Lytechinus pictus: one gene and its partners. The main gene of each other region encodes a partner of the protein of the gene in region 4 in a complex. Links are inferred from orthologs where the notes say so. Each region holds a gene or a part of one and is shown on either strand. Other genes may lie near its edges.

What was found.
Region 1: eukaryotic translation initiation factor 3 subunit D-like (region 4) and eukaryotic translation initiation factor 3 subunit E-like share a complex: the UniProt entries of both Drosophila melanogaster proteins name them as parts of the eukaryotic translation initiation factor 3 (eIF-3) complex. The link is inferred for Lytechinus pictus from reciprocal best matches to the Drosophila melanogaster genes eIF3d1 and eIF3e.
Region 2: eukaryotic translation initiation factor 3 subunit D-like (region 4) and eukaryotic translation initiation factor 3 subunit A-like share a complex: the UniProt entries of both Drosophila melanogaster proteins name them as parts of the eukaryotic translation initiation factor 3 (eIF-3) complex. The link is inferred for Lytechinus pictus from reciprocal best matches to the Drosophila melanogaster genes eIF3d1 and eIF3a.
Region 3: eukaryotic translation initiation factor 3 subunit D-like (region 4) and eukaryotic translation initiation factor 3 subunit J-like share a complex: the UniProt entries of both Drosophila melanogaster proteins name them as parts of the eukaryotic translation initiation factor 3 (eIF-3) complex. The link is inferred for Lytechinus pictus from reciprocal best matches to the Drosophila melanogaster genes eIF3d1 and eIF3j.

What each region holds. Positions count from the first base shown.
Region 1 is NC_087261.1:10,574,140-10,581,182, forward strand, and holds the start of eukaryotic translation initiation factor 3 subunit E-like, read left to right. Parts: upstream 1-4,041; 5' UTR 4,042-4,064; coding exon 4,065-4,154; intron 4,155-7,043. UniProt on the Drosophila melanogaster protein: Component of the eukaryotic translation initiation factor 3 (eIF-3) complex, which is involved in protein synthesis of a specialized repertoire of mRNAs and, together with other initiation factors, stimulates binding of mRNA and methionyl-tRNAi to the 40S ribosome.
Region 2 is NC_087256.1:10,923,818-10,930,697, forward strand, and holds the start of eukaryotic translation initiation factor 3 subunit A-like, read right to left. Parts: upstream 3,024-6,880; 5' UTR 2,922-3,023; coding exon 2,832-2,921; intron 2,098-2,831; coding exon 1,958-2,097; intron 1,588-1,957; coding exon 1,424-1,587; intron 1-1,423. UniProt on the Drosophila melanogaster protein: RNA-binding component of the eukaryotic translation initiation factor 3 (eIF-3) complex, which is involved in protein synthesis of a specialized repertoire of mRNAs and, together with other initiation factors, stimulates binding of mRNA and methionyl-tRNAi to the 40S ribosome.
Region 3 is NC_087249.1:11,753,756-11,760,639, forward strand, and holds the start of eukaryotic translation initiation factor 3 subunit J-like, read left to right. Parts: upstream 1-3,856; 5' UTR 3,857-3,925; coding exon 3,926-3,938; intron 3,939-4,058; coding exon 4,059-4,147; intron 4,148-5,468; coding exon 5,469-5,562; intron 5,563-6,220; coding exon 6,221-6,312; intron 6,313-6,884. UniProt on the Drosophila melanogaster protein: Component of the eukaryotic translation initiation factor 3 (eIF-3) complex, which is involved in protein synthesis of a specialized repertoire of mRNAs and, together with other initiation factors, stimulates binding of mRNA and methionyl-tRNAi to the 40S ribosome.
Region 4 is NC_087254.1:36,520,570-36,527,567, forward strand, and holds the start of eukaryotic translation initiation factor 3 subunit D-like, read right to left. Parts: upstream 3,021-6,998; 5' UTR 2,818-3,020; coding exon 2,692-2,817; intron 1-2,691. UniProt on the Drosophila melanogaster protein: mRNA cap-binding component of the eukaryotic translation initiation factor 3 (eIF-3) complex, which is involved in protein synthesis of a specialized repertoire of mRNAs and, together with other initiation factors, stimulates binding of mRNA and methionyl-tRNAi to the 40S ribosome.

The DNA of each region.
Region 1 (7,043 bases), on a different chromosome or scaffold from region 4:
GCTACGCGGGTTTTGATAATTATGCTACTCTTTATTAATTCTTACAAACAGTTCTAAAAATCCTATTTTTTTCTTGTTTAATCAACAAAGACTTATAATCACGATTTTATTTGATAAGGTATAGATACAAAACTCTCTTCATTAATTTTTACAAACAATCGTCTCTTTTTAGGAGAGGATATACCAACAAAATCAGCTCGCGCTTCGCGCACGCATTACGCCGATGAGATACGTATAGGAAGTTAATGAATTCATAAAATACTCTTTAAAATTGTACCCTTTCAAGTAAGTATCAGCTCATTGCTCGTGCCTGCATTGATTGCTTAGTTATAGATCCGCATCGTGGGACTTACTTCTCCCTAAAATGTCCCGATTTCAGGTCTGAATGATTTTCGGCTCGCGCTTCGAGCTCGCATTAATTTTTTAGAATTAATATTCAGTCTTAAGATCTTAATGTTGAATAAAAAAACAGGTTCGCGCTTCGCCCTCGTATTAGATCGATTTATTTAATGAGATCCCTGCATCAGTGATTCCCTGTAATAATTTAGTATGATAAATGTTCCTTTTTCAGGTCAAAAGATCAATGATTTTCAGCTCGCGCTTCGCGCTCGTATTCATTGTTCAGGTATAGTTAGATACCAATCACAGTTATGATTACAAAAAAACAACAAAGAATATTCCGTATTAACGTCTATTGAAAAATGTTTCCACTCGTATCAATGCGAGGGTCTCCGCGACGGGAAAATGGGAATTTCTATGGTTTTCTGAATTGCTGATGCTCTGGACCGGAAATTTAGGCTGGGGGTCTCAACCACGGCACATATACATGTACGTATCATTCATTTATACTGAGTATATTAGGAAGTTGGTGAAAGTAATTCCCCCCCATTGGCGAATGATCCCCGTATGGAGCTTGCATAATAAATAAAATTATCAAATTAAAAGATATTTTTATTTACAATAATAACTATTAGTTAATAATAATAATAATGATGATAATAAACAATAATAATAATAAAAATAATAATAATGATAATAATAAATCATAATAACATTTAGGGCGCTTTATAGGGCGCTTAATTTGTCTCAAAGTTCACAAGTGGGTGTGCTGACTAATGATAAATATAATCCATTAGAAAAAACTCTATATTTAATTAATTAACCAAACCAAATTTATCGGTGAATTATCGGATGGTCTAATACCACATCATCTACTTATCAGTTCGTCCAACTTCACATAGTCTAAACTCATTTCGTCTACAACCAGTTTGTCTAATATCCAATTCGTCTAATTCCCACTTGGTCTAATATCCTATTCGTCTAATTTCCATTTTGGCTAATAACCAGTTGGGCTAATTTCCACTTGGTCTAATATCCAATTCCTCTAATTCCCACTTGGTCTAATATCCAATTGGTCTAATGAGCAGTTGGGCTAAAATCATTTAGTCTAATTTCCAGTTAGTCTAACACCACTTGGTCTAATTTCCACTTTGGCTAATTTCCACTTGGTCTAATTATCATTTTGTCTAATTGCCACATGGTCTAATGACCGTTTGGTCTAATTTCCACTTGGTCTAATTTCCATTTAGTCTAATTTCCACTTGGTCTAATATCCAATTGGTCTAATGACCACTTGGTCTAATAGCCAAATGGTCTAAAGACCACTTGGTCTAATGACCAGTTCGGCTAATCGTCACTTGGTCTAATTTTCATTTGGTCTAATTCACACTTGGTCTAATGTCTATTTATTCTAATATAGCATCATTCATTATTATTTATTTATCTAGAATTAGCAAATATGGTACGTAATGGATAAATACAATGCATCAGTTAATACATATCGCCAGGATCTGGAGGGGTAGAGCTGGTGGGCGCAAAACCTCACCGTGAAGGACTATCGATGACAAGATAGTCGCTCATCAAACTAATTATTCTAATAAAATAATTCTCATAATTAGGCCTGTATATCGATTATAAGATGATGATAAAAATTATATCATACTCATAATCATTACATCACCGCATGCACATTTACAGAACAATAAGTTGGGGACCTTGTAGCTTATAATGGTCGAATGGCGGGGTTTCATCAGAATAAAATTATTATGAAGAAAGGAACGAAAATATAATGTAATTGATTGTGTGGATACGTATCTGGTAAACATATATATGCCTCTTTTAAATCATTGTTATGCACCATTACGGACGATACTTGAACTTGATGTCCTAGTTATGCAGTTTGGGGGAACCAAAACTTACAAAGTCATTAGATCATGTAATTTTGTTATGAACATTTGTTTAGTTATTTCAATATTTAGTTTGGAGGCAAATAACAGACAAGTTAGATATAGTTTGATAACACTATACAGGTATATTGGGTTAGCTGCGACAACATAACTGCGACCATCTTGGTAGCAGCCACATAATTCTGACGTGTAATAACATAGTATACATGTAGTCTACGCTTGCAGACCTTTATCAGTTATCACCACAACAGTCATTCATCTTATATATCTTCTCATTCTGTTTTTTGTTCTACTTCTTCGCCTCTTCCTTAAATGGATTGGCAAGGTTCCCACCCCATTAGGGAAATCAGGGATTTTTAAAACGTTTTTCCAGTCAGGGATTGCCTCAAATCCGGGAAAAATGTCTCAAATGAGGGCAAAATCAGGGAATTTTGATCGGCCCAAAAGTCGAAAGCATGACAGTCTGTTATATTTTGTTGTATTTTAAAACAACATTCATTGAATGACATGATATGGTGTTGGTTTTTTTTTTAGTGTAGCCTCTTCTACTACAATACAAGTATAGGCCTACTGGTACATTATACATGCATAACTAAAATAAAAATAATACATGTAATTCACTGCAACAACTTCGAAAACATGTGAAACTGGGAATGGGTTTAAATAATTATCAAGGAATTTTTTAACTTCATCAGAGATATCAGGGATTTTTGTTTTCTTGAAAAGTTGGGAACCATGATTGGGTTAAGCCATCGTTTCTATCTACAGTAGATCGTATACATAGAGGTGAATAAATAAAAATAATATTTTTTCACCTCTATATTAGCGTTATTTTACAGAAAAATAGCAAATTTGATTGTTTTTCACCAAAACCTTCAAAAATCCCCTGAAACAGACAAAAAATCCCCAAAGTTTGTATAATCCCCAAATAATTTTTTTCATCCCCACAGGCTTTCGAAAATCCCCATATTTTCAAAATTCAGTTGGAGACGAAATATACGTCACTCTAACTGTACTCCAATATCGAGGGGCGCACATGTGAAGATTCGAAGCCGGCGCGCGGAAAGTAACTTTAAAAATTTCACCAGAAAATTGAAAACAAGTCACCATGCAGACTTTACGAATTAGACCAAATGGCATGTAGACGAAATGAATGTTAGACTATCTGGAAATTAGACCAAGTGGAAATTAGCCGAAGTGGAAATTAGACCAAGTGGAAATTAGCCGAAATGGAAATTAGACCAACTAAACATTAGACCAACTGCACATTAGACCAAATGAATAATGGACCAAGTGAGGATTAGACCAACTGGTATTAGACCAACTAGTATTAGACTAACCGACTATTAGACGAACTGGTATTAGACCAAATGCAATTAGACCAAGTGACAATAAAATACATTAGACCAAATGAAAATTAGACCAAGTGGCTATTAGACCAAGTGGTCATTAGACCAATTGGCTATTAGACCAAGTGGTCACTCATTAGACCAAAAGAGAATTGGACTAAGTGGGTTTAGCCCGAATGTTGTTAGCCCATCTGATGATTAGACCAAGTGATAATAGACCATCCGTCAGTAAAATCTCAGGTTGAAGCCGGGGCTGAAATCCTCTTTAAAAATTATATTTCCCTTTTTTATTCGTTCTTGTGAAGGTAAATATTTATGCCGTTTTCTTCCTTCTTTTTAATCGCACGCTATTAGTCGCCAGTAGCCAGCGCGCAGCTTGTATCGTCTATGTCCGGCGGAGCCGGAGATCTTTGATTGAACGCGCGGGCGCGGCGCTGCGCGCGCACATCCATTGAAGGAATCTGTCAAGATGGCGGAATTCGACCTGACTTCGAAAATCGGACAATATTTGGATAGACATCTTGTTTTTCCGTTGTTAGAGTTTTTGTCAGTACAAGAAGTGAGTATTATGTACAAAGATGGTGTCTCAAACTTATACGGATTGTATAATCGTTGTAATTATCATGAATTTCGTGCCATCTGGTCGCAACTGTGTGCCCCCATGTGGGATTCGACAGTCCGACGTGTTCACTTTTGCGTAGGCAATGGTAGGCCCTGGCTTAGCCTTAGGCTAGATGATATGATAAATCATGATCTCAATTTGAATAGTAACTGCCCAAGATTCAACATGACATGTTAAGCTATTCTGCATGATATTTTTAATCTAAAAAATCTTTTCACAAAATGAAAGAGATCCTTATGTATGACTGTGTATGTTTGTTGAGCATGCAGTGTTTTGAAATGGAGACGAGTCTAGAGAGTAGATAGAGATAAGGTGTCTGAAGTGAAGAGTGAAGACTGAAGGCAGTGAAGCCACACTGAAATGTGTCAGCACAAAACAGGCTAATTTAGGGGAAAATATGGCACATTTTTTCGGGGAAGTTTAGGCTACTAGTACTATAGGCCGGTCAAATTGAAATCCTAAAATTTTTATTTGAACGTCTTCACATTTTTATTTACAATGACATGAAAGAGAAAACAAAATCAAAGCAAACATACCAACTCCCAGTTCCAAAGGTTTCCAAAAAGTGAAGATATTAAGTGTCAAACTATGGCCTTTGTGAGACCAGAAAGGGACAGAGATAACCGATTCAGCCCCCTAACTTCCCCGAAGCTAGTTGTCACGTAAAATGGTCGATGAATAGCTAGTTTCGAACGACCTCCTTAAATTAATATTCAATTTTAAATTTGCCGCTGCAGCCCGGCTCGTAGTCTGTGGTAGCTTGTGCACGAGACGTTATTTACGAAAAATGCATTCTAAAAAGTAAAACTCTCGGCAAAATCGTGATATAGGCCCCGCTCGAGAAAAACTTGTAATCGATTATACTACCTCAATATCTAGGTTGCTAACTTCAGCTCACTATATATACTCGTGATATAGGCCCCGCTGCTGTGTTGAATGGCTTAGAATGTCCGTTTGCGGGGCCTGTTTCACGAGTATAGTACTATAACCGTTATATAGGCCCCGCACTACGGCACTTCAGACACTCCAACACAGTAGCGGGGCCTATATCACGAGTATATATTAAGCTTGCATCCTAAGATAGTCGCGAAACTGGCCCCGTCCAATGCGCTTTTCCCAGCATTCGCACGTGTGTGGGGCTCGGATGACGACTATAGTAGTATACTCGTTATCGAGGCCCCTTACACTGTTATATAATGGAAAATAACGTGGTCGTGGGGCTTGTTTCCCCGGCCGGTGAGAATTATCATGGGCGGCGCTGTAGGGGGAGCCTCCAATTTATTTTCCAAATATACAAGGAAAGAATATCATGAGCGGCGCTGTAAGGGGCGGGGGGCTCCTTATTTTCCAAATAAACAATTAAGGAGAGAATGATTTAATACTTCTTCAGAAATTTATTTGTGGATTTATTTGTATTTATTCATTAATCATTTGATTTATTTGTTTTCATTTTTTTTTTCTTTTGTGATGTAGAGAGTCAGAGGTATCATTCGTTTTTAATTATTTTTATGTGTAAAATTTCATTTATTTATTTCTCAATCTATTAATTAATGTATTTATATTTATTCATTAATCATTTAAGTCATTTGTTTTCTTTCTTTTTTTTGTTATAGAGAGAGTCAGAGTTATTCGTTTTTAATTCTTTTTATTTGTGGAAGCTCATTTAATTTATTTATCAATCTATTTTAATTGATTAATTAATGTATTTATATTGATTAATAAATCTATTTATAGTTATTCATTAATCATTTAATTTATTTGTTTTCAGTTTTTTTTCTTTTGTGACTGGTAGAGAGTCAGAGTATCATTCGTTTTTAATTATTTTCATGTGTGAAATTTCGTTTATTTATTTATCAATCTATTATTTTGATTGATTAATATGTATTTATATTGATAAATAAATGTTGATATTGATAAATATATTGATTAATAAATGTAAAAATGTATAAATGTATTACCCAACAAGGCAACGACAATATTATCATCTCCCATTAACAAGAACTTTATTTGCAAAGAATTCATTTGTCTTTTCCGGGCCCGCCTACTGGAACTCTCTGCCTCAAGATTTTAAAGAATCCCCTAATATAAATATTTTTAAACGCAAACTGAAAAAAATGTTAATTTTGCAATACTCGTTGCAAGCAGATCATGCTGAATAACTGATTTATTTATACTCGGTTTTTGTGTCTATCGTGTATTATATGCGCTCGTATACACTCGTATATACATGTATATTATTTGTTATTACTTTTTTCTTCTTAAAATTGCAACTAGCCAAAGTACCTGCTCCTGTTGCCCGATTTCTTTCTATGTTATGTACACTGCATTTCTCTGTCCCTCCCCTCTTCTCCCCCTCACATTCCCCCTCTCTCCCTAATGCTATAAAACAAAATATTTCTCACATCAGTTTTTTTTCTCGTAAAATGCACCAAAATTGTTTGTATTTATTTTTAAAGTTCTATATATCATTACGACCCAGTGTTTTTTTTTGTAATGAAACTAAGTTTATTTAGGGGCTTGCCTTTTGTACAAGCTTTGCTTTTTTTTGGCAAGACCCTCCGTTTTTACTTTAAAATACAATTGTCATATTAGGTAATTTTATTCATTGAATTGTGCTCCTTAAATCTAAGATTATGTTATATATATTTTATTACGTCTTGCAGTATTTTCCACCTTGTTTTGTTATATTTATCATGCTTATGTTGTGAAACGGAAATCAATAAATCAAATCAAATCAATATTTATATTGATAAATAAATGTATTTATATTGATAAATAAATGTATTTATATTTATTCATTAATCATTTAATTCATTTGTTTTCAGT
Region 2 (6,880 bases), on a different chromosome or scaffold from region 4:
CAAAACAGCTTTTAACGGTCTGGCGTCATGACGTGCAATTCAAAACAGCTTTTAACGGTCTGGCGTCATGACATGCAATTCAAAACAGCTTTGAACGGTCTGGCGTCATGACGTGCAATTCAAAACAGCTTTTAACGGTCTGGCGTCATGACGTGCAATTCAAAACAGCTTTTAACGGTCTGGCGTCATGACGTGCAATTCAAAACAGCTTTTAACGGTCTGGCGTCATGACGTGCAATTCAAAACAGCTTTTAACGGTCTGGCGTCATGACGTGCAATTCAAAACAGCTTTTAACGGTCTGGCGTCATGACGTGCAATTCAAAACAGCTTTTAACGGTCTGGCGTCATGACGTGCAATTCAAAACAGCTTTTAACGGTCTGGCGTCATGACGTGCAATTCAAAACAGCTTTTAACGGTCTGGCGTCATGACGTGCAATTCAAAACAGCTTTTAACGGTCTGGCGTCATGACGTGCAATTCAAAACAGCTTTTAACGGTCTGGCGTCATGACGTGCAATTCAAAACAGCTTTGAACGGTCTGGCGTCATGACGTGCAATTCAAAACAGCTTTTAACGGTCTGGCGTCATGACGTGCAATTCAAAACAGCTTTGAACGGTCTGGCGTCATGACGTGCAATTCAAAACAGCTTTTAACGGTCTGGCGTCATGACGTGCAATTCAAAACAGCTTTTAACGGTCTGGCGTCATGACGTGCAATTCAAAACAGCTTTTAACGGTCTGGCGTCATGACGTGCAATTCAAAACAGCTTTTAACGGTCTGGCGTCATGACGTGCAATTCAAAACAGCTTTTAACGGTCTGGCGTCATGACGTGCAATTCAAAACAGCTTTTAACGGTCTGGCGTCATGACGTGCAATTCAAAACAGCTTTTAACGGTCTGGCGTCATGACGTGCAATTCAAAACAGCTTTTAACGGTCTGGCGTCATGACGTGCAATTCAAAACAGCTTTTAACGGTCTGGCGTCATGACGTGCAATTCAAAACAGCTTTTAACGGTCTGGCGTCATGACGTGCAATTCAAAACAGCTTTTAACGGTCTGGCGTCATGACGTGCAATTCAAAACAGCTTTGAACGGTCTGGAGTCATGACGTGCAATTCAAAACAGCTTTTAACGGTCTGGCGTCATGACGTGCAATTCAAAACAGCTTTTAACGGTCTGGCGTCATGACGTGCAATTCAAAACAGCTTTTAACGGTCTGGCGTCATGACGTGCAATTCAAAACAGCTTTTAACGGTCTGGCGTCATGACGTGCAATTCAAAACAGCTTTTAACGGTCTGGCGTCATGACGTGCAATTCAAAACAGCTTTTAACGGTCTGGAGTCGGTTTCATTGGTGTGACTGTAGCATTCCACATTTTTGGAATCATGGTGCCATCTCTGACCCTGATCCTGGACCTACCATCCTGGGCCACGTCCTGGTAGAGCTTCTCCAGTCTGTTGTTGTTCCTCAGCAGGTCCAAGCACTGTCTGTAAGACTCCCAGAGAAACTTGACCCATGGTATCAACACCACACGGTCACTCCTGGCCTGGGCATCCTCTCCACTTACAGCACTTAGGAGAAGACTGCAGGAAGACAAAAACAGTGGGAGAACAAGTCAATAATAGGACCCACTGGTGGGATGCCTATAACATCAGTTGACACTTACTAATGGAGCATTGCAAGGATCTTACATTCAACTGCAAATCGAGCGTTAGTCCCAAAATCAAGTCAAATCGGGCATGCTTATCATATAAAGTTGGAATTAAATGCAAATGAACTACACCTTTGTGTTTAATCAAAGGAAGTGATTCTGATCTCGAGACTTATGCTTTATTTGGAATTGAATAAATTATTTATGCTATGGGTCAACTGTCAAATCCTGAACTTCAACAGTTAAACTTTTCCCAACACTGAAGGTAAGAAACAACAATTCTTTAAAAATTCTCTTCTTACCTTTCTGGGGTGGTAAGATTATCAAGATCGTCAACATCGACCCCAACAACAGCCTCAGAAGCCTTCCTAGCCTCCTCCGTCTTGACTTCAGCAAGCTTCAAGTATTTCCTCACGACATCTTCCAAAGACTTGACATTCACCTAACAGCAAGAACATAACAAGGAGTTAAAATCAACAGAGCATTTCACAAGAGGACTTGTCATATATTTTATCCAATAAGTCCTGTTTTAAATGACAAAAACCATAGTAACAGTGCTTCTCAGCTAATCAAATTCAAGGAAAGACGTCAGATCTGACAACTTATTGGACAACAAGGGTTGATGAAATGCTCCCTCACCTATGAAATTTCTTGATTACACATGAAAAAAAAAAAGGAAATATCTAAGAAAGAAACAATTTCTTATCATTCACTTCAGCTTGAGCAATTGGTGTCAGATTAGTTCACAAATTTGCCACATAATGTGAACAAAAGTTAATAAACAATAGCTGATCAGTGTTTTTCTTATTTCTACAATGTACTAGCAGTACCCAAAATCAAAACTTGAATATTTATTTACGAACTTTAGATTGGTGTTTTGACGTTCTATTATCAAAGAAAAATCAGTGAAAATGGTGTCAAGAGCGGTGGCACAACATTTGGTCTGGCGACAATTGTTCCAGGCTTAATTTCATCTAAGATGTAGGGTTAGGGTTACAATAGGGTTTTATGTGAGGTTTAGGGTAGGGCACATGTATAGTGTTAAACCAAGGGTTGAAGTTGGTCATTTGATTAGTGCGTGGAATTTAGAGCAGAGCAAATGTCATGGAACCGTCAAGAACATCTACAACACATTCAGGAGCCCCCAAAGCATTTCTGCCACAAAAGTATGCCTACCTGTTGACAAATGATCTTGTACTGGTAGAGGCCCTCTTTGGCAATGTGGCTCTTACGTAGGTCAACGCAGAGCTCCAGATACTTCTCCATGATTGGTTCGTGTATCTTCTGCCATGTTCGATGTCGCTTACTCTTGATGACATCATAGAGGGCATCCAAGGCTGGCTGCTTCTTGCCGACATCAATGAACTCTGAGTTGACAAACAGAATCAGTACTCATCTTTATCAGTACAAAGATTATTTCTTTGTTAGATAAATGAAAGCATTATCATTCATTATGAAGCAACCAAAGTAGTTACACAAATTATGTCCCAGCCAAAGTGGAAAGTTGATTTGATGGGGAATTTTAAAATAAAAGGGTGAAAGTTGAAAACAGTAAGAAAGTTATGAATCTTTTTAAGTTGTAAAAAGCAGAGCTGACTTTGTATCTGCCACTTTAAAAAATGTAATTATGGTAGGTTATTTGACACCTGCATTTTCTTCAATACATAAAGTGACGTAAATGTCACTTTTTCAAAAAGACACTCAAAAAAATTATTTCATAAAGGCATGTAATAGTATTCTTCAGACATACATATTATTTTTTCAGGGACTCAATTTTAAGGCGCGCGAGAGCGATCGTGCGCTACATGCGCGCCTTAATCCATTTTAGGTAGCGCGATTAATAGCGCGCCTCGCGATCGCTAAGCGAAAATGCCTGAAGTCGCCCTCAAAATCACCTAAAATCATGCTTTCGGGGACATCAAATCTGAATGTCGCCCCCGAAATTATTGCCGAGTGATAACAACTAAACGGCCCACTAGCGCCATATGCTCGAGCTCCGCTTACCATTTAAAAATCATCCAAAATCCACACTCAAAATCATGAATAAGCCTTGAAAATAGCGAGCGCAGTTTCAATTCGACATAAATTGTTTTCTTTGTTCTCTTATGTTATTTTTTCTATATGTTCATCATTGTTTTTTACTTATATGTATTGACTTTTATACAGTGTATTTGTTTTTATGAAGAATGAAAAAAATAAAAAATAAATAAAAAAATTCTGAAGTTGCGTCTTTTTTTCTGTACCATGTATTTCCATACACATGGAACCAGGTATGACCAAAAAAATCTACGCAACGGTCGGGAAACAGTTGCCTGTATATGGGTCCATTATGACTACCACCATGTGCAATTTCGAATGCACATGTTTCCCCTACAGATAATTCTGTGATAAAATAATTCGAATTACACAGGAAATAAATCCCAGAGTCTAGTAACCTAGCATTGGTGAGTTGTCATTCGGCTTTGCTTTTCAAAACGGCCTATTAACATCCAAAATAAGTTACCTTATTTATTAATTATAACTAAAAAATCATTTGTTTTCTTTTTCTAGGGGATGAGGTAAATATCAGACAATAAATCATCAAACAAAGCTCTATCTATTTTTAACAAGGCCGGCGGCAGGCTCACGCACGAACGCATTGGTGCATGTACTACTACACTAGCCAGTCGGAGCTCTGTCTCTCTGCCAGAGCTCTGGGGTACAATTCGCTCAGTAAAGGCCTCAATGATGGTGATTTTCTGTTTCAGACAGAGTTTACATTTCAGGTACATTATTCAAAACTGCCAATAAAGTTTGATTTCTTAATTGTCATGTATATTTAAGATCTTAATGAATACATTCTCACCAAATTTAGACTCCCCCATAGAGAAATGCAATTTTCATGGAGATCTGCATTTTCAAAGAACTTCAGGAAAAGTTAGGGTATGTGGGCCTCTATATTACATGTACATGGCCGAGTACAGGGTATTGTACTGGAATAGACGGAGTAGAAATTAAATATTGAATTCATTTATATCCAAGTCCAACTCACAGTCACACACACACGCACACATCCACATCCAAGATTCTAAGCATCATGAAAAAATAACTTAAAAAATCATACAATATTAAACAAAAAGTAATAATTCATTAATAAGTGAACAGGTATTCCTCAAAATACAAAAAAGTTGCATTTAAAAAGAGCCCCCGAAATGCAAAAAGTAGCCCCCGAAATTTGACGAAAAATTTGTCAGTGACTTAACTTTTAGCCATAGTCAAAAGTCACTCAAAACCTCACTCAAACAGGTTTTATAACACACAATCTAATTACAAAACATTGTAAAACAATTATGAATATTGCATATTCGATTGTTTCCTTCCTTTGGTTGTTAATTGTAACTTAGTACATAGGCCTATATTTCCTCCATCCGTTTTGTTAATTGGACAAAAAGCTCCCCTTGTATGTTGAAGAAGAGCTTTTTGCAGTGCTCCTCTACCGCTCTCCTTAAAAGTTCTACAGGGAGAGCTTTTTATTGCTCCCCTCATAATTATGTCGGAAAGTGGAATTTTCATTTGGTTGCTTGAGAAGAATGTTCCTAATTTGCATATTATTTTCGTACAGGTGTTTGGAATTCTCTTGATCGGCCGGATCACTGGATAGGGTTAGGATGATCGATGTATGTACGCTCCAAAAATATAATTCTAGTTATTTTCTAATCCTTGTTATGTATTTTAAGGGTTTTAAGGATTTGTTTTCTCGTAATATTGAGTGAAAACAATATATATACTTGTATCTTTTTCATATTGGCTGTTTCAAAGTTTAACAAATCCTTAGCAGAATGATATTTTTTTGGGTGGTTCCGCGACTCCACTGCTTGTTGGCATTTTACGTTAGGTAGATTATTGCACGTCCTGGTTCTGGTGCAGGTCGGACTGCAATCGAAGCAGGCCTGGGAAAGGGCTGATCTGGTCCGACTCATTTGATCCTCCTCGAGTCTTGAGATTTCGAATAATGGTAGAAGCTGCTACTCCTTTGTGGTATCCTGGGTGATGTAGGTGGTGTGTAACCACCAGTAGCCTCTGATTTTGGGGTTGTTGTTTTGTTACTCCTTTCATTTTGTTGGTTTTGGCAAACCTCAATAAAGTCAAAGAAGCTCAGATCTGGTGTCCCGTAGCATCTGTAAAGTTTGCTCCGTTACGGTCTTAATTGGCTAACTCAACCCACCCCCCGACAAAATGGCGACGAGGATGGGATCATCAGATCATGGCTGTGTTCCGATGTCAGCGATCAACCCCAAAGTCAGCGATTGAGGTCTATCGTCCAGAGGTCAGCGACCAACTAGGATGATGGCAGTGAAGTTCTACACATCCAAGAGACTTTAACGTTCTTACTTCGGAGAGGGAATGGTCAACACATGAACATTTGGTAATGAGTTAAAGGTGGTTTAGGTAATCTCAGATAACTATGAGTAGAGTTAATTTTTGATTGTTCATTGATTTACACCACTTTATACATGTGCATAGACCTTCTCTCCCCTTTGTAGAATTATATAGCCCTTGTAACGATGTCACAGTCTGTAGAGGAAATGGTGTCAGTCCTTACCCGGGCACTGCAAGGCTTGAATATTCAACGTGCTCCCCCACCAGTGAAATTGTCTAAATTTAAGGGTCCACCTAAAGTCGCTGGAGACTTATCTCTGGAAGAGTGGCTTGAAGAGTTTTCCAGTTATACTACTCACTATCAGTTGTCTGGAGAGGCAAAAGCACAGTCGCTTGTCGATCATTTGGCTGGAGTTGCCAAAGAAGAGGTTCTATGCCGAGATGAGGATGTGCGAAAGGATAGTGATCAAATTATCAACGTTTTACAGTCACTCTTTGCAGCGTCAGAGTCGGTACCTTCACTAAGTCAATCCTTCTACAATAGACGACAACAAGAGGGCGAGAGTTTGGCCGACTACAGCCGGGCCTTGATGAGGTTGTACGATCGCATGGAGAAAGCTGCTTCCAGTACAGAAGATAAGAATGCTTTGAAGAGGCTCAAAGATAGCTCGCTGAAAGAACGTTTCGTTTGTGGAGCTAAAGAGAAGTGGGTACAACGAGAGTTAAGACGAATTGAAATGTCTTCAAAGAGTAAGAACTTTCTTGAGATGAGATCTGAAGTGCTTGAATTTTTCTCTGGTCAAGAACCAAGAAGTTCACCACGAGTTCATGAAGTGTATGCTGAGCGTGCTGACATGTGTTCTAGT
Region 3 (6,884 bases), on a different chromosome or scaffold from region 4:
AAAAATATTGACTTTTGTGGACTTTAATCAATGCATAATTTCAGTGTTGCTTTGCATTGTATAAAAACAGTTGTACTGAATTACCTGTTACAAGAAACTATATGACAAAGTCTTTATTGTGTTTCGAAACTTAAAGTTGAAATTATGTTGTTTTGGAGTTTTTCGTTACCTTCTGTTTAGTAGTTGACAGTTTGTTATTAATTAGCTTGGGGACCAAGCTCGAGAGAGGAGGGAGTCGTGTAACGAACTATGTTTCCGATTTAATGTCATAGAGAGCTTATAGGGTCTGTAAACGTAGACTATGTGGAAATCGTATGTGTAGACGTTCTATGATTTAACGAAAATTAGCAAAAATCGCACATTTTATAAACATGTTGGAGTTGTCATGAAACCTTTTGATTAATTTATTATTAGCAAAGTTGCCTAAGCATTATCCAGTTGTTTTATTCGAGAAAGCTGGTTGATTAGCAAAGTTAATTAGGTTATTGTAGTTGTTGAAGTCATCTTTAGTAACTGTTTTATCGAAGTGTTAAAAAATGCATAAATACGAGGAGTCGATGAGCATTAAGGACGATTTGTGTTACGGCCCTTTACCGTAGTGCAAATGCTGCCCTTCATCTCTTGTATATCATTTTGCTCTGTACAATGATTTATCTTTGAGAAATTAAAGGTAAAGATATCAAGCATTGAACCTACACTCTAGACTACGTTCTTATGAGTGTTAGGGTGCGTTTATCCGCCACTTTTTTACCCTAGAATCATGATCTGAATCATGATTCAAATCATGATTCTGCAGAATCACGATTGCGTTTAGTCGAAATTGAATATAATCATGATTAGAATCACAAACATGAAACACGATAAAAGGGGCGTTTGGAAAGACGTTTCTGCAGAATCACGTACGAAAATGTTCGAATAAACGATATCGTGATTACAATCATGATTCTATGACCTCACTGTTGTGTCGGGCTACTTTCGGTTTGACTCTTGCCAAGCTCAAGGCGCTCTATATGCTCATTGTATGTACATGATTACGTACTACGCATGCATTTCTTGTCATGTTCAAGTTCTGTGTTGGTCATCGCATCGTCCACTACTTTTCATTTTTTGGTCATGTCTTCAACTTCAAGTTCTAGTAAATGAATTAACTGGACAGACAATGATCTCAGTTGTTGTTGAGTATACAGTATCAATATTAAATTGGATCTACGCTGAAATTCACTTCCAAACACCATTTTGGATAAACTAACGAGATGAATAGAAACATATGGACCCTATATGATAGAAGTAAACAAAATGAGGTATAGACTGAATTCTGGAAGCAAAAGATTTTTCGAGAGCAAAAACACGTGCGAAAAACTTCCTCTGTCAAACTGCGCACTAGTGATGCGCACTGGATTGGCCCGAATCTGAGGAGAAACAGCATTGGAATGAAGGTCGTCTAAACGCTGATTCTGTGATATTGTGATTCATGTTTTTGTTTTGAATCATGATTCAAATCATGATTCTGGCTTGAGGTCGCATAAACGCAGCCTTATAAAGGAACAAATGATTGGTGTACGGAACGAATGTTGGTGACTGAATGGTCGACGGATGTCCGATTGACTGAAATGAGACGAGAGAGGTGATCGATTGCAATCGACGGATGATCTGACTGGAGAAACCAGAGACGACGGTTGGTGATGGTTGTTAATCAGTCTTTTCCATAAACCATCAGCAACGGTCATATACTTTGACCAAACGAACGCAACTGACGGTCAGGCACGGTGGCATCCTGACAAGAAAACCGTGTCAGCTGAAGGTTGGATTAGAGGCCGTTATACTTTCTGGCCAATTCACGAGTCGTACACAATAAACCGCCGGCAGAAAAGGCGTGCAGAAAAAAAATGGAAAAAGCGATTTCGTAATTTTCCCGCGCGGAAGCAAAATTTTTGTATGAAAAAAAAAAAATAATGAAAAACCATGTGTACCCCTTCCCCCTTTTTCTTCTTTCACTTTCCCATTCTTTGTTTCTTTTTGGGTTACTAAATATTCTTATCCCATCAACCTACTCCACCCCCCGACTCAGTAAGTACTATTTCCCCCTTTATTACATGCGCTGAGATATAAATAAAAAAAATCCTACACCAAAGATTGCAATTCATATTAACTCGTGCAAGGTGAAAATTAAACTGATCTCAATCCCCCGGGGGGGGGGGGGGGGCACTTACATTGACGAGTGGATACCATGCGCGACCAAAAAAACACGCAAAAAGGGTGTCTTTTTCAAGATAGGGCACGTTACGTACGTAACGTGATAAGGGTGTCAAAAACACAAAAATATTGAAAAAAGGGTATCTATTTCGCTCGGAAAAATATACGTGTTTAGGGTCAAATATGCGGGGATGATAAAACAAAATCAAAATGTTCTATAAAGGATGTCATTTTTGCCCCAACACTACGTGTTTAGAGTCCGATTTGCGCGAGGTGTGGAAGGTGGGGCCGTACTAAACCAAAATTATGGTGTCTAAAGGTAAAACCGACGACCGACGGACGCGTGACATATAACAATAAAATATCTATGTACTTGTTTAGGGGTTCATTTCAGCATGGACCTATTACGAATAGGTCCATGATTTCAGGGAATACTTGCTAATAGTATCGTTTTGTTTCCAATACTTGTTAAGGGGTGCATTTTCAGAATATGGAAAATACGTGTTTAGTGTGCTTTTCAAGACCCCGTGGTCGCGCATGGTATCCACTCGTCAATGGAAGTGGCCCCCCCCCCCTGGTCTCAATCACAACACCCTCAACTGCAATTTCCAAAGGACCCCGCTAAGGAATTGCCTCTCAAAAACTGAAAGAAACATGTAATTCCTGCTCAGCCTTAGTCATATACCCTTTGTTAAATGGGCAATGCTCACCCTAAGTAGGAATAGTTTTCCAATTATTTTGTATCCAGGGTTTGGCTCATCTTTCTTCAATTACAATTACAATTGGGTAATTGTAGAAAATAATGTTCAATTAGTTTTCACTTACAATCAGCAATTACTTTTGTCAATTACATTTACAATTTCAATTACTTTCTATAAAAGTCATGAATAAAATCAATTTGTACTCTGTATGTACTACTAGCACCACCTATTTCAACATACTTTATAAGTTACAGAGAAACTGACAAGATGAAGGTTTATGTTAAAGAGCACAGATTCTGCCTATTACACTCTTTGATGCTGAAAAAAAGTTGACATGAAAAATGTCATACATGAAATCAAATAATAAATTGAATAAGTTTATTGTCAAGTAATTGAATGTAATTAAAAGTAATGACAGTATTTCAAGTCAATTACATTTTTTTCAATCACTTTCCCTTTCAAAATTTCAAATACAATTTAAAAAAAATGTAATTAATTACCTAATTGATCAATTATATTGTGATTGAGCCCAACCCTGTTGGTAACATTATTTTGAAAGTTGAGTTTATTGGCTTTTATAACTTAAATAAATATAAATAAATAAGTAAAGATATATAAATTCTTGCTCGTATCCTGCCAATGGTTACAAAAGTCTAAAGTCTAAGTTCATGAAAAAACATAAAATTCAGCTCGCACTTCGCGCTCACATTATTTTCTTTAGTACGACCCGCCACGACCTAATTCGGTAACGTTAGGCGTAATGTATTCAATTACAGTCTTTATGAATAATGCCCTCAGATTTTAGCTTTACAAGCAATCGAGAGGGAAAATGTACATTTTGTTAGCACCCCCTCTATATTGGAAAATGGTAGATCAAATCCGCCCCTGCGGGGGGGGGGGGGGGGGGAGTTTCTCCCGGCCCACACAAATTGCTCTCAGGCAAGTCATCGCACCCATCGCATTCACGCGCGTAAGCTCGCATTATAGCGCGCTCGCAGCTAGCTAGCCTCGCACCCGCCCAATATGTAAATATGGCCGACTGGGGTGAGTAACATGTGCAGTGACATATGTCAGAAAATTATAGTGAAATATTGATTTGAGTAATTCCAGTGCAAAATAGTACATTTATTTCTTACATTTATCTTATGATTCTTTTTTAATCAGAGGACGACGATTTTGATCCTGATGCGGGTTTCGCCAAGGCGACTGCCGGTGATAAATGGGAAGGAGAGGATGAGGAAGAAGATGTGAAGGTGAGATTTTGCTTAGCCCCACTCCTTTTGACTTGTGTTGTGTATGTGTCGGAGTGCATTTTATTTTAGTGGCGAGTTTGAAACAGTGTCACTCAGTGGCTTTAATTTTATTTCTTTTACTTATATATAGAATCACATCACTACGCCAATTTGATTAGTTTAATTGTATGTTTATATGTATATGATCTTTTAGTTTTATCCTTTTTTTATACATTTTTGGGACCTCAAAATAAAAGGTTGAAAAAAGTCATGAATTTTTTTGGGGAGAAAAGCTGCAGAGTCGAGAGTATTATAATGACAATGTTAGCCAGAATTTCAAATTCAAGCACCATTGACTTGTACAAAATCCACAGATGTTTAACGTTAGGCCCTAACCAAAATTTTAGGTTTAACTTAGAGTTAGACTTCGTACTTTTAGTAAATAGTAGACTAATAGATTAAGCTGGCTTGGCTTGGAGTTGGATATAATTTGCAATATCGAGACTGCAATAAACAGTAGAGGCGCACGGGCACGGCCAATTATGGGAGACTATCTCCCACGAGAGAGATTATCTCCAATATCAGAGACTTTTGTAAAGAATTTGAGAATCCAATTTTAGAGTCTGGGAGACCAATTTCCTTCGTTTACATTTGCTGCCAAAGGATTACGTTGCGTTTGTGGCAAATAAAAATGTTCCTCATGAAAAATTACCCCTTTTCACCCACTACTTTAAAAATTCAGTCTAATTTTGTTTTAATAAGGATTTTTGTTGTCATCCACACACAAAACAAACGGGCTTTGATTCTGACCTCAGTGAGACAAAATTTTGGGTGGAAAAAATTATGCTTTTGTTGGTGTTGTTTTGTTCTTTTGCAAAGCAAGTCTGCAATATAGGAGATTGTCTCCCGTATTGGAGAGTCTCCCATATTGGCTGTGCGCTTCTACTGATAAACAGTAGATTCTAATCTAGATCTAAAAAAGTGACTAAGTTTACTCAAAGTTTCTTCTTAAAAGAAAATTATAATATCACTGGAAATTCATTGAATTGAATTTATTTAAACCAGTAAAAAAAAAAAAAACGCGGTGCTGACTTTCTAAAAATGTACCCCCTGTGTATGCGTCATTGTCGACCAATGAGGTCAGTGCTGTAGGATTGGCCTTCTTTGCCACAGGCACCAACTTATGAAATTCAAGAAAATAAAACCCCAAAAGTAATGGAAAATTTATTGATTTTTTGTTGTTGTTGCACAATTCAGTCATGGATAGTAATCGTGTCTAATGAGGTCTAACTTGGTCTTGGAAGAACAGAAATTGAAGCTGATTATTATTTTTGTTTTCTAGGATGACTGGGCTGCATCAGATGAGGAGGAGGAGAAAGAGGAGAAAAAGGAGGCAGGTTCTACAGAGCAGACAGCGACTTCTGGAGATGGAGGAGGTAACTTATCAGGCTATGTCAGCCAATAATCCCACCAATCCTCAAAATTGTTAAAAATCCTACTTAGGATATCAGAAAAAATATAGAGAAATGCGGAGATATCGAATTTGTAAAGGATGAAGCCTTTTAGAACACTTGCTTCTGCTGTCAATTGCTTTTGGTATAAGTCTGAGGTTAAAGCTCTATGCTGCACCGTCGCAAATGGCACTGGTTGAAGTTCTGCTCTTGTTGGCTAATAGTCAAATTATTCATTCATTTCTAATCTTTATAACAAAAGCTTATTATACTGTTGAAATCGGACCAGACAGTGAATTTTGACAATGAAAACAACAATCTTTGCTAAATTTTCACTTGGTCTGGCAGATATAATGGGAGCTTGGTATAATGATACAAATTTCAATCTCTTCAAAGTCTTAACCAGTTCATTTCTCGATACTAAGTTCACTGCCACATCTTGTAATTTGAGGGTAAAATGCTCTTGATGTTAATGAATTTTGCTGTCCCTCTTGAAGCATTGTTATTATAATTGTATTTTTTTTTCAGCAGTTTATAACTTGGAAGAAAGATGATTTAGACATTTTGAAATTTGAATGTTGTGTTTATTATGGTCACACAATGGTCGTTAGTGATTATAATGAGTTATTTATATATTCCACAGCATTTCAAGTCAAAAAGAAGAAGAACAATTTAGAAAAAGCATTGCAAAGGAAAGCTGAAAAGAGGAAAGAGAAGCTAAAGGAAGCTGAAAAGGTAAATATTGCATGGATTCTCGCGCTCTCTCTTTATCTCCTGCCATATTCAGATTGAATTCTTTTTACCAACTCCAATGTATACGATTGTATTCACTTGACCAATTGACTTATATGGTCTAATTCCCAGATTGTCTAACACCATCTTGGCTATACCTATTTGGTCTACTACTGATTAGTCCAACCATCTCTGGGTCTTTCAAATGATCTAACCAGCCAATGGGGGCGTTGCACGAAACTTGTGATCAATTGCAAGTCTATTTCCAGTCCTTAAAATAATCCTATGTCTTACAATTAATTGTAAATATGCAATCTGCTTCTTAAATCCTAAATTTTGAAATTAATAGCGAATTTGTAATTGATTGCTAATCTGTCTCGAAACAAGCAGTGTAATCTGATTTGCTGCAGCTAAAATTGATAAATCACTTGTGAATTACAAAAGAATATTAGCAATTACTTGGAAATATTTTTTTTGCAATATCCCCTAGGTCTGTTATTTGGTTGGATGCCCTGGGGGGTGTTTCACAAAGATTTAAGTATGACTTAAGTCGCACTTAAATGCTGACGCGTACA
Region 4 (6,998 bases):
ACCCTTTACTCTCCCGACTCCCATGAACACATTGCTGAGATCCAAATGATAAAGTTGAAATGCTGCCAAAAAAGTGTAATTTGTGTTCACTCATGCATTAAAGTTCAATTCAATAATTTAAAACATTTGCTTAAGCAACCAAGACTGGTCACGGCTGATCATTAATTTATCACAACGCCCTTAACTTTGCAAGTTCGAAAGGATTTGCCTCTCAAAAACTGACATAAATTGGAAGGCTAATTCCAGCCCACCCTAATTTTCATACCCTTTGTTTCAGTGGGCAGTGCTCGCTCAAGCATGAATAGTTTTCCAACTTTTTGGTGTCATTTGAAAGTTGACTTTATTGGCTTTCCACATATGTAAGTCTTTTTCCCCAAAGTGCTACATTTTTTATTTGGCAGCCATTTCAAAAGTGTATAGTTTTTTTTGGGACGCACTGTATATTACGAAAATCTGATGTACCCTGATTATTTGCAAGTATTAAGAAGAGGAATTATGACCTCTCTTTTGACTCAAAAAGACCGATTTCCACATGAATTAATACACATAAAAACACATAGGCAAGTACATCACAGTCCCACGTGTGCATTTGTATGTATGTTGATACTTGGTTTTTTTTTAAGCTGTGTATTTTCTAGCCAAAAACAAACAAGACAGTTTCTTTCTTTCTTGTTTATAAATGACTTCTTAAACCACTCTTGAGAGAGTAAATACTTTGGGAAGGCAAGGCAATTCATTGATATGAAATGTGATTTTTTTTCCCAACATTTTGGCAAATATAGGGAAGGACTTTTCTCACACTTTTTTTCCAGATATAAATTTTGCCGTTTTCTTTTTTTTTTCCTTTCATTTTTTTTTGACAGTGGTTAAACCATTTATACCCCTTCCCATTGAATATGCCTGATTAAAAAATATGTTTCTACTGAAAATAAAATAATACAAACTAAAGGATATAAAAATGAAAATGTGCCATTCCCAAAAAGTAAGTGAAAATTATTTGCTTGGCTTTTAATTATATTCCAGTCAGAATAGACTGTTGCCACAGCTGTTAAAAAATATATGTAATGGCTTCTTAATTTTCCACTTTTCCCCATTTTTTTATTAACTGTTTTATTAATTTTTCTTTCATTTTCTTTCCTTTTTTCTCTCTAATTTTTTTCTTTTCTTTTTTCCCCTTCATTTTCTTTCTTTTGTTTTATTTCACTAATTTCTTTTATTATTTTTGTTTTCTTTTTGTAATATACTTTTTGAAAATTATTTTCGTTTGTTTCTCCCTTTTATGCATTGTTCTAAATTTGCAGCATATTTTTCTGTGATTTTCTCCTTCTATAATATGCTGCAAAAGAGAAAACAGAAATAAACTGGATTTGGGGCATGCATAATCTAGGTTTTAGGATTCAAAGAGGAAGGAAGGAAAAACCATTGATTTGTACATCTAACTGAATTTGCTATGCACTATTTATTTACTTTACCATTAGCTCTATACAGAGATTTAAAAAAAAAGTCCACACAACCTGCGAACAATACAATTCATTTATTCTCTTTCAATCATTTCATTTATACAACGATAGAAACATTTATAAATTAGCAAAGTAAAATAACAGCAAACAAGGTTTACATACAAGATGTATAAAGTAAAAGTAACATATAGTGGTAGTGGCTGCAGAATTAATATTTCAGAAGTTTGTTTTATTCATTTTTAATGTTTTTCTTTATATTTTTCGGGCCACCAAACTTTAATATCGGGCCACCAAAAAAAATTATTTGATGGTTTTGGTGGCCCGAACGGGCCACCACCAAAAAAAGTTAATGTGGAGCCTTGAAGTATATGTCAAATTTTTTTAAAAAGACATCATCATGGGGCCTGTTGCATGAAAGGGTCTTTCGTAGAACCATTCTACGTAAGAACGAGATATCGCTCAACTGTTTCACAAAGCCGATTTGGGCGATACGAAGAATGGTCCTTGGAAAGACACCTCCAGACATGTCCTACGTAGGCATGATCTTCTTTGGACACCACCCACCTATTGTTCTTCCCCAACGTTACCCGACGCATGCGTCTGTAACGTTGGCGAAGAACAATAGGAAACAAGATGGCGGCGAAAACATCGGGCAAGTCTCTTCCGTCTTTACACAACATTTCTCTCATTTTTTTGATGAATTCTTGTTCAAAAATAACAACGAGAGCGTAGAAATGTCGGAAATGAAGTTTTATCCCATGTACATGATTTAGGGCTAGATCTTTTAGAAAGAAAGTAGAAATTTCGGGGGCGAAAGTTTCAGGTTTTTTGGTGGTACACGCAAAAGTATATGACGGAAGCCCTGGCTTCGTACTATGAGAGTGACCTTACGTTAGTAAATGATTTTTACTCTCTAGAAGCCGCCTGGCTACCTAGGACTCCTAGGAGTAGGAGTAGTAGTACTAGTAGGACGTTCCTACGTATCGCTCATCTCGTCGTCATGGTCGTGCAACAGGCCAATGGAGTCCTCGACTTCTCAAGACTACTCATAGTCATAGTCATACACGCATCATCGACGACGTACATTCGGTAGTCGGCCCCTACCGTACCGTACCATACCGTACACATTCTACACAACATATGGGAAACTGGTAGTGGTACGCCTATGCAATAATGCATGAATGAATAGAGAGGCATTCCACTGGCACTACTATCATGTACTAGTAATTACCTTTCCGAGGCGATCTCCCTTTGAAAATGGTTGGTATGGAATATCTTTGAATTGCTTTGGAATCGTACAAGGACCCCATCCTGTTGGATTATCCTGTATCTCTGGAGGAATGAATCGGGCGCTCATTTTTATGATATTTCGGTGAGAGTCCTTCTTTTTTCCCGGTCGCCGCACACATGCACATGCAGCCAAATATCACACTAAAGTGACCCGATCATGAGATGGCGCTATTAAACCCCAGTGCCACAGAGATACGATCTTACGTATACGTAAGCTCCCGTAAGCTCCTGTACACAGCCAACATGGCTGCCGGTGGACAATTTGAAGGTTGATTTTGGAGGGTCAATGTTTTATTCATGAGAATGACGTCAAAATACGCATAATGCACTTGTATGATTGGATTAAACGCTAATGTTTTATTCATGTACTCATGCATTAAACATTTTTTTCCGTCCCACAATTCCCTACGATATCTGTGCGAAGTGTCGTTCTTTTGGACTCTGCGAATTTGAAGTTTCTGAAACGAAATAGCTAGACTAATTATCTGTTTATAGAATTGATGTTCGAAATCATGGTTTCTGAGTGAACTTCATTGGAGCGGAAAATCTTGGAGGGAACATCAATACTATTCTAATGACATTCCATAGGAATAAAAGTAAGTTACGCTCATTTTCATGTTTTGATCTCACTTGCAAATTGTAATGTGTTTGCCGGGGTTCGGGGCTCATCCTGTATTACGCACTATGTAAACCTCAATTTCAATATTTCTTTTGCCTGACTTCCAAATAAGTGTGATCATTGAGTTTCTCAAAAATACTATATCTAGGGAGTAGGGGTCTATAGTTTGTCGTAGATCTAGACATTCATCGGAATGCTTCATGTAGGTCCAAAGTAAACCTTTATTTCAGTTTTATTGTGATTAGACAATTATCAGGGGTAGATGTAACCCAGAGAGCTCCCGCCCGCGCAGCGGGCGGGAGCCCAGAAGCTTACCGTGTATTTTACCATTGTCACCGGACTAGGGTGATTTATGGTCTAAATATTTCTCCAAATGAATTGTGAAAACAGAAAGTATACAATTACCACGATTATATGGATGAAGGTCTAACGAGTGGCAGATTCCTGACATCTGGGCACAGTCTGGAACCTCAAAAAAACGAAAAGTTCTCTCCTTCTACCCCGTCTCGATCGGCCATTTTTGTTAAAAATCACTAACAAAATGGCCGATCGAGACTGGGTAGAAGGAGAAAACTTTTCGTTTTTTTGAGGTTCCAGACTGTGCCCAGATGTCAGGAATCTGCCACTCGTTAGACCTTCATCCATATAATCGTGGTAATTGTATACTTTCCGTTTTCACAATTCATTTGGAGAAATATTTAGACCATAAATCACCCTAGTCCGGTGACAATGGTAAAATACACGGTAAGCTTCTGGGCTCCCGCCCGCTGCGCGGGCGGGAGCTCTCTGGGTTAGGGTAGATGTGGACTTGTTTCCGACCTCCTGTTTTTTAGTAACGACAAAGGTCGACAAACTGTCGATTTTAGGCCTATTCAAATTTAGGTCAATGATATGTAGGGATATGGTCAGAGCGGGATCCGGCCTTTGATATCGCCGGTGCTAGCCGAGCGAGATTGTCGATGTAGTCATGGGGTATGAAAATAGCGGGGACGTATGGTGGCCCTGAAGGGACATCGCATATAGACCAAATCGCGAATATTCACGACGAAATTGGCGACGAAATTCACGACGTCGCCAATTTCGTCGTGAATTTCGTCGTCAATTTGAATATTCACGACGAAATTGGCGACGAAATTCACGACATCGTGAATTTCGTCGCCAATTTCGTCGCGAATTATTCACGACGAAATTCACGACGTCGCCAATTTCGTCGCCAATTTAAATATTGACGACGAAATTCACGACGAAATTCGCGACATCGTAAATTTCGTCGCGAATTATTCACGACGAAATTCACGACGTCGTGAATTTCGTCGCCAATTTCGTCGTGAATTTGTTTTGTTTGCCTGGGCGGTATGCGGGTTGAAACCAATTCGTCTGCTGCTAATTCCTCCACTGCAGGGTCGACCTACATTCATTTACTCTAATGCAATTCTGGCCATTAACTTTTCGCCTAACAACCATATGGTCCAATAACCATTTGGTCCAGTCATCACTTCGTCTATAATCACCAGTTCGTCTATGACCATTTCGTCTCACAACTAGTTGGTCTAATATCAATTTTATTTTCCTTAATTTCGCCCAATTAACACTTAGTTCAATTAGACAAAATGGCATATGGAATAAATGGCAATTGGACCAACTTGGTTATTAGACAAACTTGGCAGTTAGACCATGTGGATAGTGGACGAACTGATGGTAGACCAAATGAAAGCTGACGAGTTGGCATTAGACCAATTGAATAAAAAAACATTGAAACGACAGAACGATGTCCACTGCTATCCATATGCATAGGCGGATCCAGGGGGAGGGGGCCGAGGGGCCCGTCCCGTCCCCCCCCCCTATTGGCGGAGCAAAGAAAGGAAATAAGGAAAGAAAGCAAAAAAGGAGGGAAAAGAGAGTAGAAAAAAGAAGAGGAGGAGACGAGTGAATAAAGTAAGATGAGGGGAAGACATGGAAATAAAAAGAATATTTCATGTCACTTCATAAAAATTTCGCTCGTGCTTCGCGCTCACATTGCCTGTTAGGTGATTTTCATAATCTTGTTCAATATGGAGTTTAGATATCAAGTTTGGAAGTCAATATACAAAACATATTTCATCTCGAAAATCAAACTTTTATTATTTTGCGTGATTTACAAATTGATTTTTAAAAAGTGCTCTGTAAATATGACAGTTTTATGGTCTGAATATTAACATTTCCCGCTCGCGCTGCGCGCCCGCAAATTTCGATTTATCAGGTACCTATTATTTTCGTGTATTCCATAAAGTTTTCAAAATATCCCTTTTCAGGTCTGATTGTCAAAACGTATCAGCCAGCGCTACACGCCCGCATTTTGATCGTATGTCTCAATATTGATTATACAATCCCCTTTTCTTGACAATGCACAGATTTAGGCTCGCAATTTGCGCTCGCATTAATTGTTAAAATATATTAACTGATGCATCCTATTTATAATTACAAATGCATGAAATGTCCAGTTTTCAGGCCATCGACTTCACGCCCTCATTAAGCATTAATGAATAAGATATTAATTTAATAATTGAATTGTCCCTTTTGTTTCATCTTGCGCTTAGCAAGAGGAATAGGAAGACATTCATCATTTTTATATGATGAGATGTCCTATATGTCCTAAGGATGTACCGGTCCTATGTCAAAACTCAAAGAATTATAATGAAAAAAATCAGCTCTGTGTGATCCATATCCACTTTACAATTTTCTTACAAAGTGCTTGAAATATAGAATATCAAATAGTTTAAGCTCGCGCTTCGTGCTCGCTTTGATTTTCATGATAAAAGATGTATTTAGAATGCCTAGATTCTAGGTCTAAATATGAAACACGCGCGCGCATGTTTATTCAGATATTCAACTTGTTCTCTATTTAAATCATTATCCAGTTTCAGATCACAATATAAACAATTTTCTGCTCGCACTTTGTGCTTGCATCATTAATGTAGGAATTACTCATTCTTTTCCAAATTTACAAAACATGAATAGAGTGTCCCGTGTTAAGGTCTAATCTCGATTTTTTTCCACTCGCGCTTCGCACTCGCATCAATTGTTTAGTTATATAGCTATCCTGTTCACGATTACAAAAATTGATTAAAATGTTCCATTCTTTATGTAGAAATGTCAAAATTTTTCAGCTCGCGTTTCGCGCTCGCATCAATTGTTTATTATATACCTATTCTGTTTAAGTTACAAAAAGTCCTTAGAATTTCCATTTTTAAGTAAAAATTTCAAAAAATTCAGCTCGTGCATCGCGCTCGCATTATTTGATTTTTAAAATATATAACGTCTTCATGACTAACTGCATGCTGTCTTTAACAGGTACCTATTCCACCAGTTCATTTCTGCTCGCGCTTCGCGTTTGTAGTAATTATTTATTTGCATACACATCTTTTTTAGGAAAACAAACATTGCCCAGAATGTTCAAATTATAGGAAAAAATACATAAGATTTCCAAAAAAAAATTAGCTCGCGCTTCGCGCTCACATTATATAAATAAGGATTATGATATTATATATTTATATTGATTTATAAGAATAAAGCTAAGAAGACCACCCCTTCACAGAAACCAAAAATCATCTTCGAGCGGCCGATCGGGGAAAATATGGCTGAAAAATAAT